2 linked regions of the Macaca fascicularis genome follow. The protein of the gene in region 2 purifies or fractionates together with the protein of the main gene of each other region. This does not show direct contact. Links are inferred from orthologs where the notes say so. Each region holds a gene or a part of one and is shown on either strand. Other genes may lie near its edges. The genes, in order: MAPK8 and DUSP4.

Region 1 (3,808 bases), on a different chromosome or scaffold from region 2:
AACAACAAAAAAGCAAAAACAAACAAACAAAAAACCTTCTTAAGGTTCTTAAGTAGACATTCAGACTCACAAGGCACACCACACGTAATCTTAATGGTGGATGCCACATCATCACCACTATTTATCATCTTCTTTGGGTCATGGAATCTTCTGAGAATTGTAAAACCCTCTTCTGAGAAAAACATACAAACAAAAAATATTGCATCGAATTTCAAGGAGTCTGTGTTAATTCCTGAAGAAGAAAATTCTGACAAAGAATCCCTGATTACAGAGTATGACATTTATATTGGTAATAAGGTAAAACAAGAGAGTATGTTGGAATGAACAACAACTGGAGACAAGTTTGTTTGTTATAGTAACTTAAGGCTTGGAAGGAGAAAAATAGAAAGCACTGATAAAGGAGAGAATAAGAGATGGTCTTCTTCAAAGAAACAAAAAGGAATGATAAACATTTGCAATATGAGGATTTTTTAAGAGAGAAAATAGCACTCCTCTGGGAAAAAGCACAAAGAGATTAAGGCAGAAGAACCGACACTAATTAGGAGTACTAACTAGGCAAAGCCATCTGTAATTAATGGCTTTGGCAATTAATTTTTCTTTCTGTTATGAGCTAAAACTCTTAGGTAGATCTTGAAAAAGGCAGTCTGTGGGTAATTACTGACATGCACCTGGGGCTAGGAGTAAGAGATACAGAATAAAGGTAAATGTTTTTAAAGCAATCAAAACCCCCAAATATATTCTTAAACAAATGAAAACACTGTATCTCACTGATTTTAAGATGTACTTTTTTTCAGTTTAAACTCTGAAACTGACTCCATCTTATAATCAATGGTGCTGGACAACTGACAGTGTTTTTTTTTCTTTGTGGCACATAATGGTGTGCCTTACAACTGCTGGCCTATTAAGAGTCTATGACCAACCTGGACAACAGAGTGAGACCCCATCTCTACAAAAATTAAAAAAAAAAAAAAATTAGGCTAGGTGCAGTGGCTTAAGACTTATAATCCCAGCCCTTTGGGAGGCTGAGGCAGGGCAGGAGGATCACTTAAGCCCAGGAGTTTGAGACCAGCCTGGGCAACATAGTGAGACCCTGTCTCAAAAAAAAAATTAGCCAAGTGTGGTGGACAGCTACTGGGGAGGCTGAGGCAGCAGGATCACTTGAGCTCAGGAGTTTTGATGCTGCAGTGAGCCATGATCATACCACTGCACTCTAGCCTAGGTGACACAGTGAGACCTTGTCTCAAAACAAAACAAAAAAACAAGATTCTATAAAATACTTCATGGTCTATTGTAAATTAGTAGGATGTAAAAATATCAGGTTAATGCTTTCATACATATTCAGTACAGAGCTATATCTGTATACATATTCAAATGCATATTACATATTCAAATGCAGCAGACTCTATCCAGTTTTATTGTTCTGTCATTTTTTTAACTTTATCATGGGCTCTGCTAACCATGGGTTTCCCAAAGTTCACAGAAAATCAATCTCTAAATCTCTTCAATTTCTAAGAAAGAATCAAATTCATCCTTAGCAAAACACATTTATAGATGGGTTACTTATTCATGTTTATACCTCCCCAGTCCACTTTGGCTTCCCAGGATTTAAAGACAACTCTTAATAACAGGTCTTCTGCCTCTATTTTAAGATGAGGTAAAATGCAGGGGGCGGTGTAGGAGGGTGGGAGGAAGGGGGAGTGATTTACTCAAAGTCACACAGTTACAAAAGTGGTCAAAACACTGAAGGACAACAACACAAATGGAAGTAAATGGGACCTAAACATTACCTGGCCCACATGTCTCAGGGGACCTTTCGAAGAAATATTTTGAACACTTCCATGACTATCAAAGCATGATTAATTTCAGCCACATTTATAAAATAGAATAAAACTACTATATTAGATTTACAAATATTAAAAATTAACTCATTCTGTTGGCAAGGGTGAGGGTAAAGAGAGGCTCCTATACAATATGGATGGAAGTGTACACTACTACAATTTCTTTGGAGAATAATTTGGAAATAACTGAAAAATATCCTTTGGCTCAGCACATCTCCTTCTAGGATTTTTCTTCCAGGTATGTTCTCATATGTGAACATGAATACGGCAGAGTTGTTTCTAACAGCAACAGACTGGACACAATTTAAATGGTCATCAAGAGGGAGATGGATATACAGTGTGACACATTCATACAGCAGAACACTAATCAGTTATTAAAGCAAGAGAGGCATATATGTGAACCAAAACAGAATAACCTTCCAGATATCTGATTATATCAACAAAGCAAGTACATATAGCATATATCGTACACAACCATATGTGATTTTAAAAGGGTGGAAGAAGAGAGGTGGGAGACACTAAACACATTTGTATGTTCACACACCATAGAAAAACATGAGAGAGAGCACTAATGTGTCTGTGTCTGGGGTGGGAAACGGGAACTTAAGAAGTTAAGGAAGGAAGCAGACTTACTGTCCACTTATGTAAAAATATTAATATTAACAAATTTCAGTTATGCACAGAAAATGTCACAAATTTCTCTAACATGACAATAAATCACCATATAAAAACCAGAAGCTCCTTCGCAGTTTTCCCTCTAAGAATCTGATGAATGTACCTTTCCACTCTTCTATTGTGTGTTCCCTTTCATCTAACTGCTTGTCAGGGATCTTTGGTGGTGGCTGAAAAACACAAGGCAATAATAATTGAGTCAGTATGCTGGGAGTATTTTAACTCTTTGTAGTTATTTGAAATATTAGCCAGACAGATGACTTATAAAAATGTATCATTAGATCAAGACTGATCAATCATCAACTTTCTTATATAGACAGAATAGGAAGACTCCTTCATTGCAGGAAAAAAAATGTTTAACTGTCTTTTTCTTTTCTTCCAGCTCTTGAAATTGCCACATTTTATTTATATCATAGATCACAGAATTCCGTTTTCCTTTGGATATAGTAATTTCTTTTATAACTGAGTTAGGATGTTCCCTCAGAGCATTCAACATCCTAGTTCTCTGGTTAGGGTATCCAGGCAAGATTGCAAAAAACAGTGGGAGGTGACTTTATTTTGTGTAGGAGGGGCTCAAATATGCTCATTAGTTTATTTGACGTAGTTTTCATGAAGAAACAGAAAAACATCATCATCATGTATCTACATTTTTATTTAAAATTAAAAGGTCTCCTCCAAACCTAACTGTAATTCTAAGAATGCAGTATGTTCTGTAAACATTAAGAAAATAACTTACAGCTTCTGCTTCAGAAGGATCATACCAGACATTGATGTACGGGTGTTGGAGAGCTTCATCTACAGAGATCCTTTTAGATGCATCTATTACCAGCATTTTGGATAACAAATCCCTTGCCTGACTGGCTGCAAACATAATGATGTTAATGTACATATATTTGTAAAGGTTCTCAAATTATTAATAACTTTCAGCAATTTGAGATTATTTTTTATTTTAAAAGCATATGTTTTAAAAATATTACTGTAAAATTATTTTATACATATGATTAAAATATATAAAATTAAAGAAAAATAAAACCTCATTTTTTTTCCCACCATCCAGAGAAAACCTTGGGTTATGTCCCATAAGAATATGAATACATATAAACACACGAACACATACACACACACCCCAAATGGGATTAAATGTATATATTTGTAAAAGTACCTTTAAGTTTGTTGTGTTCCGAGTCAGCTGGGAAAAGTACATCAGGGAAGAGTTTCTCGAAGCTATATCCAGCATATTTAGGTCTGTTTTCAACATAAGTCCTTACTGTTGGTTGCAGTTTCTTCATGAATTCAGG
Region 2 (4,524 bases):
GATGATCCTCCCTGCCCGCATCGGGGCCGACTACGAGAGGCAGTGCAGGCTCCAGGAGGAAACAGCCCTTTAAAATACTTCTCTTCCGTTGGCCAGGCACCTCACCACACACCGGAGGGCTGTCATTTTACCAAGAGGCCTATCCCACTCAGTCCCTAGCCTCGCCCAGAGTCTCCAGGGCTTCGAATCGGTTTGGCTGAGGAAACGGAGGAGGTTGGGGAGGTGGACTCTCAACGGGATTCACGAGGGACAGGGAAATGCCGCGCGCCCTGGGAATAAACCTTAAAAAATAATCCCTTTTTCCCCGGGAGCGGGGCCTAAGTGGCTGCAACCCCGGAAGCCCAAGGGACGAGGTCCCGGAGATGCCGCTCTAGAGCGGTCCCCTCGGGATTTCTTCCAGGAAGGAAACCAAAACACAACAAAACAAACCCAGACTCCACGTGGGGCTGGAGCCCAGCCCTCCTGTGTTCTCGCGGGTCCCGGGTTTGGAGGCCAGCGAAGGAAGGCGCGCCCGCGCTCTCCATCGGGGGGACTCGAGGGCAGCGCCGTGCGGGGAACATGCCGGCCAGCCCCGGCCACTCCAGGGGACTTGCGTCCCAGAGGAATTGCCCTCATCTCTCCCACTAGCGCCGACAAGCTCAAACAATGGCGCGGAAGCCCACCCTGGTGGCCTAATCAGGACCTGGCCCCGCTCAGCGGTCAGGCCTTCCGGGACAAGCCCCTTCCTGGCACTTTCTCTTGGAGCGCTTTGGGGAGAAGGGAGGGGGACTGGGCTCAATTGGAGGAGCAAAAGACGGCCCCCGCGGAAAAAGAAATAAAAATCAGCAAAATCGCCTTAGCAGTTCAACCAAAGGTCAACAGCAGCGTTTCCCCAGCAGCTGACAGGTCAAATGGGCAGGAAACAACTGCGGAGAACAAAGCCCCCCGCTGTTCGGCAGGGGCGAACCCGGCTCCTCAGCACCGAGCAATTTTGTTGTGTTTTTTGGAGGGGAGAGGTTTCCGCCCCCCTCCAGCTCCCTTCCTCCCTGGTGGACAGGTCGGAAGAGGAGCGGAAAGGAAAGGAAAGGAAAAGAGGGAGGCGGCGAAGGCGCCTGCAGGGGGAGGAGCGGCTCTTTGATGGGGTGTGGGGGGGTCCGAAATGCCTCCCGGGCTCGGAAGCGCAGACCCGACCCGCACGAAAGAATGCGCGGAATGCGGCTGCGGGAGGCGGGGGGCGCAGCGCGGCAGGGAGCGCCCGGACCCCACGCGCCCTGCCCGCTCCCTAGCCCGAGGGCCGCGGACCCACCCGGCCCTGCAGGTGTGGCGGGCCCCCGATCCCTCCAGGGATTCGGACGGCACGCGATTTTTCCGGGATGTCTGACTACAAATGTGACAAGACAGCCCCGCCGCCAAGAGTTTCGCCAGGGCTCGCTAAAATCCGGCACGCGCCGCCATCAGATAGTCGAAAATCCGGGCTGAACAAAAGGTGGTCATTGTCCGCTGCCCGGATTTGCAGGAGCTAGAGGACCGGTTCCGCCCGGCGTCCCCCAGATACCCAGTCCTCCAGCCTCCCGCTCCCAGAGCCTGGATCTAGCCCGGGACGGGAATTGGCCACCTTCCAAGCTGAGCTCGGAGTTGGGCAGCGGGAACGCAGATACAGATCGCTCTACACGGTGTGTGCAACCCAATCTCCTTTCTGCATTGCCAGGGTCTTGTTTTCAGTGAAACTGGCAGGGCCAATTGTACCTCGGCGTCCACCCCTCTTCACCCTTTTCCCCACCTCTCTGATTCTCCAGGTCCGGCTCAGTGCAGGGCCCTGGCAAGCCAAACCAACAGGCCTATCTTGTCCCCACGCGCCCCGTGGTACTTGGGAACTGTTCCCGGGACTCAAGATGGGCCGCGCAGAGTGGCCGCTTCATCCTCGAGGCCAGGACCGTTAGTCTCAATAAACGGGGCCTCGCTAGGACGGTGCGGAATTGCAGGTGAGCGGGGGAACCCGTCCGCACTGTCCCTGAGGACTTGAAGCTCTCACTTGCACAGAAACCTCGCAAACCCGTACACACCAACACACAAAAGGGCGCGCGGGGATCCCTGCAACTACGAATCTCGCCGGGCCCTCCTTCCCGTGCCAATAAGGTGCAGGCCGCCAAGACCCCCTCCATTTCCCCTCCAGCTAGCGCCCGGAGCCCGCGTTTACCTTTGAGCAGGCAGATGTCAGTGCGCTCGGCGTTACGGCGCAGTGCCTGCACCACCAGCGACACGGTGCTGTCCTCACGGAGGCTCTCGGCGCGCGGGCTGCGCTCGTCGTAGACGATGACCGCCGAGTAGAGGCCGGAGCGCAAGCGGGCACGCACCTCCTCCTCCGCGGGCAGAATCTGCTCCAGGCTCACGGAGCCCTTAGCTCGCCGCCGCACGATGGTGTTGCAGCGCACGTTGACCGAGCCTCGGATGTAGCCCGCGCTGTGCGCCAGGAACGGTCTGCAGTCCAACAGCAGGCACTTGCCGCCGCTCGGCAGCCCCAGGGCGCCGTGGCTGCCGCTGCCGCCTGCGCCGCCGCCGTTCTCGTCCCGGTTCATCAGCCTTTTGAGCACGCTGCAGTCCATCTCCCGCAGCTCCTCCATCGTCACCATGGTCGCCGGGAACCGAGGCGGCTGGGCGCGCGAGGAAGAGAAGGGCACCCGGGCTGCCTACGCTGCAGGAAGAAGCGGGCGAGAGCTAAGAAGGGACGCCCGCAGAAGTGGCCGCAAACTTGGTCCTCAGGGGCTCCCGCGGGCGAGCCTCTTCTCCCCTGTCCCCTTCCTCCCGCAGCCTCGCGGTCACATAGCAGTTGGAGCGGCCTCGGGTGCCCAGCCGGGCGGCGCGCAGCGCGGAGGGGAAGGCGGCGGTGGAGGAGAGTGTGTTTACGGGAGAGGACCGCGGACTCTCTTCGGCGGCTGCCTCCCGTGTATTTTTGCCGGTCGCGCGGCTCCTGTCGCCACCGGCGCAGGCGCTGCCGCTCCCCACGCTCCCCCGGCGCGCCGCGCACTACCCCAGCCAGAGTTTCCTCCTAGGCTTAGAGATTTATTAATGCTCCTCCGCGCTCCAGGGGGAGGGGGCGCTAGGTACTACCCCGCCAGGCCCCGCCCCGTTCCATTCCGGGCTCGGCGCCCTCCCCCGCCCCCCGCGCTGACTCCCCGCCCCCTCCAGCCCCTCCTCCCACCCCCTCCCCGGAGCTTGAATGGAGCGCGGCCGCTGGCTCCTGGTCACGGGAACTCGACGTCACAAAGAGCGGAGTAAACAGGGCGCGGGGTGCTCGCCGCCAGGCCCATTCATAAAACCGAGGCCGAGAGGAAGAGCGAGGCGGCCTCCGACCCGCCGCGAGCTGCAGGCAGCGCCTGGACTTTGTGAATGGAGCGCGCGGCGCCTTTCGCTGTCTGCCCGCTGGCCCAGGCTGCGCCGCGCCTCCAACCCGACACCGGCACCTGTGCCGCCGCTACACCTCGCCGCTAGGCGGGCGGTGTCAAAGGAATATAGCCGGCTGAGGAGGCCGGGGCTCGGGTTTGAGCTTTCATCCCTTTGCACCTTCGCGCTTCCCAGCGTGACAGCCCCGCAGGTCTCTCCTGGGTACCCAAGTGGAGAGGGGACCAGAGCGCCGCTGCCCACCCGGCGGGGCCTGGCACCTCCTAGCCCCAGACTCCCCATGCGCTTTCGACACGGCCAGTCCTTTCTGAAAATGTGATTCCTGAGACGTAGTTTGTATTAGCGTGATCGATTTTCATCCAAAGCCATTAAATCAGTTTTATAGCTTCCTCAGGAACGTGGGCAACCCCCTGCTTGGAAGATGAAAGAGAAAGTCCTCCCGCCCGAAGCCCAGGATCCGAGTGAGGTGTGGGGTTTGTTGCTTTACGACCCAAAGGGAGGCATTAATTGCCGGAATGGTGTTCCGAGGGAGGAGAGCCGTCTACATTTCTGTCCACGCTTCCTAAAAGATGTTTGTTTAACCCTGGTCGGGGGAGAAACAAGGTTTTCGGATTTGGGAAAGGTTTTCACCCTATTTTGCATAGTTGTGAATTATCCTTTCAGGAAATGACATGGTCCACATTTGCTGCGGAGCTGGACCCTGGAAAATGTACCCGTAAAAAAATGACCTTTTGAAAGGACTTCAGCTCTGGGCCTGATTCAGGTTTCTGGGCATCCCTTTTTCCTGGTCACGTAACAGCCCTCCCCATCCCCATTTATCTTTTGCGTTTAATTTCCCAGAGGCGGCTTTTGGCTGGGGGTTTGTGCACGCACGCGGTGGGGACCGTGCAGAAGCCAAAAATTATTCGCCCGACATCTTGCCAAGTCTTGTTAGTGAGAATCACAGAGCAAGGGAGTTACAGGACTCGCTCGCAGTTTCGGAGGCTGCAGAGTAGCGTATTCCATTCCAGCGCGCGCGTGGAAGCCCGACCCAGGCAGCGAGGGCAGCGGAACCCGCCGGGTCTCTCCCGCCCCAGCTCGCCCTCTCCCCATGCCTTTGTTCCAGGCGGAGCTGCTCTCTAGAGCTCTCACCTCCGGTCCCGGGGG

Evidence for each region.
Region 1: the proteins of DUSP4 (region 2) and MAPK8 purify together in Homo sapiens (affinity purification with western blotting; 3 studies listed by BioGRID and IntAct, with this or other methods). This does not show direct contact. The link is inferred for Macaca fascicularis from reciprocal best matches to the Homo sapiens genes DUSP4 and MAPK8.

What each region holds. Positions count from the first base shown.
Region 1 is NC_088383.1:57,634,804-57,638,611, reverse strand, and holds part of MAPK8 (mitogen-activated protein kinase 8), read right to left. Parts: coding exon 3,673-3,808; intron 3,372-3,672; coding exon 3,247-3,371; intron 2,681-3,246; coding exon 2,617-2,680; intron 1-2,616. UniProt on the Homo sapiens protein: Serine/threonine-protein kinase involved in various processes such as cell proliferation, differentiation, migration, transformation and programmed cell death.
Region 2 is NC_088382.1:32,537,499-32,542,022, forward strand, and holds the start of DUSP4 (dual specificity protein phosphatase 4), read right to left. Parts: upstream 3,015-4,524; 5' UTR 2,610-3,014; coding exon 2,177-2,609; intron 1-2,176. UniProt on the Homo sapiens protein: Regulates mitogenic signal transduction by dephosphorylating both Thr and Tyr residues on MAP kinases ERK1 and ERK2.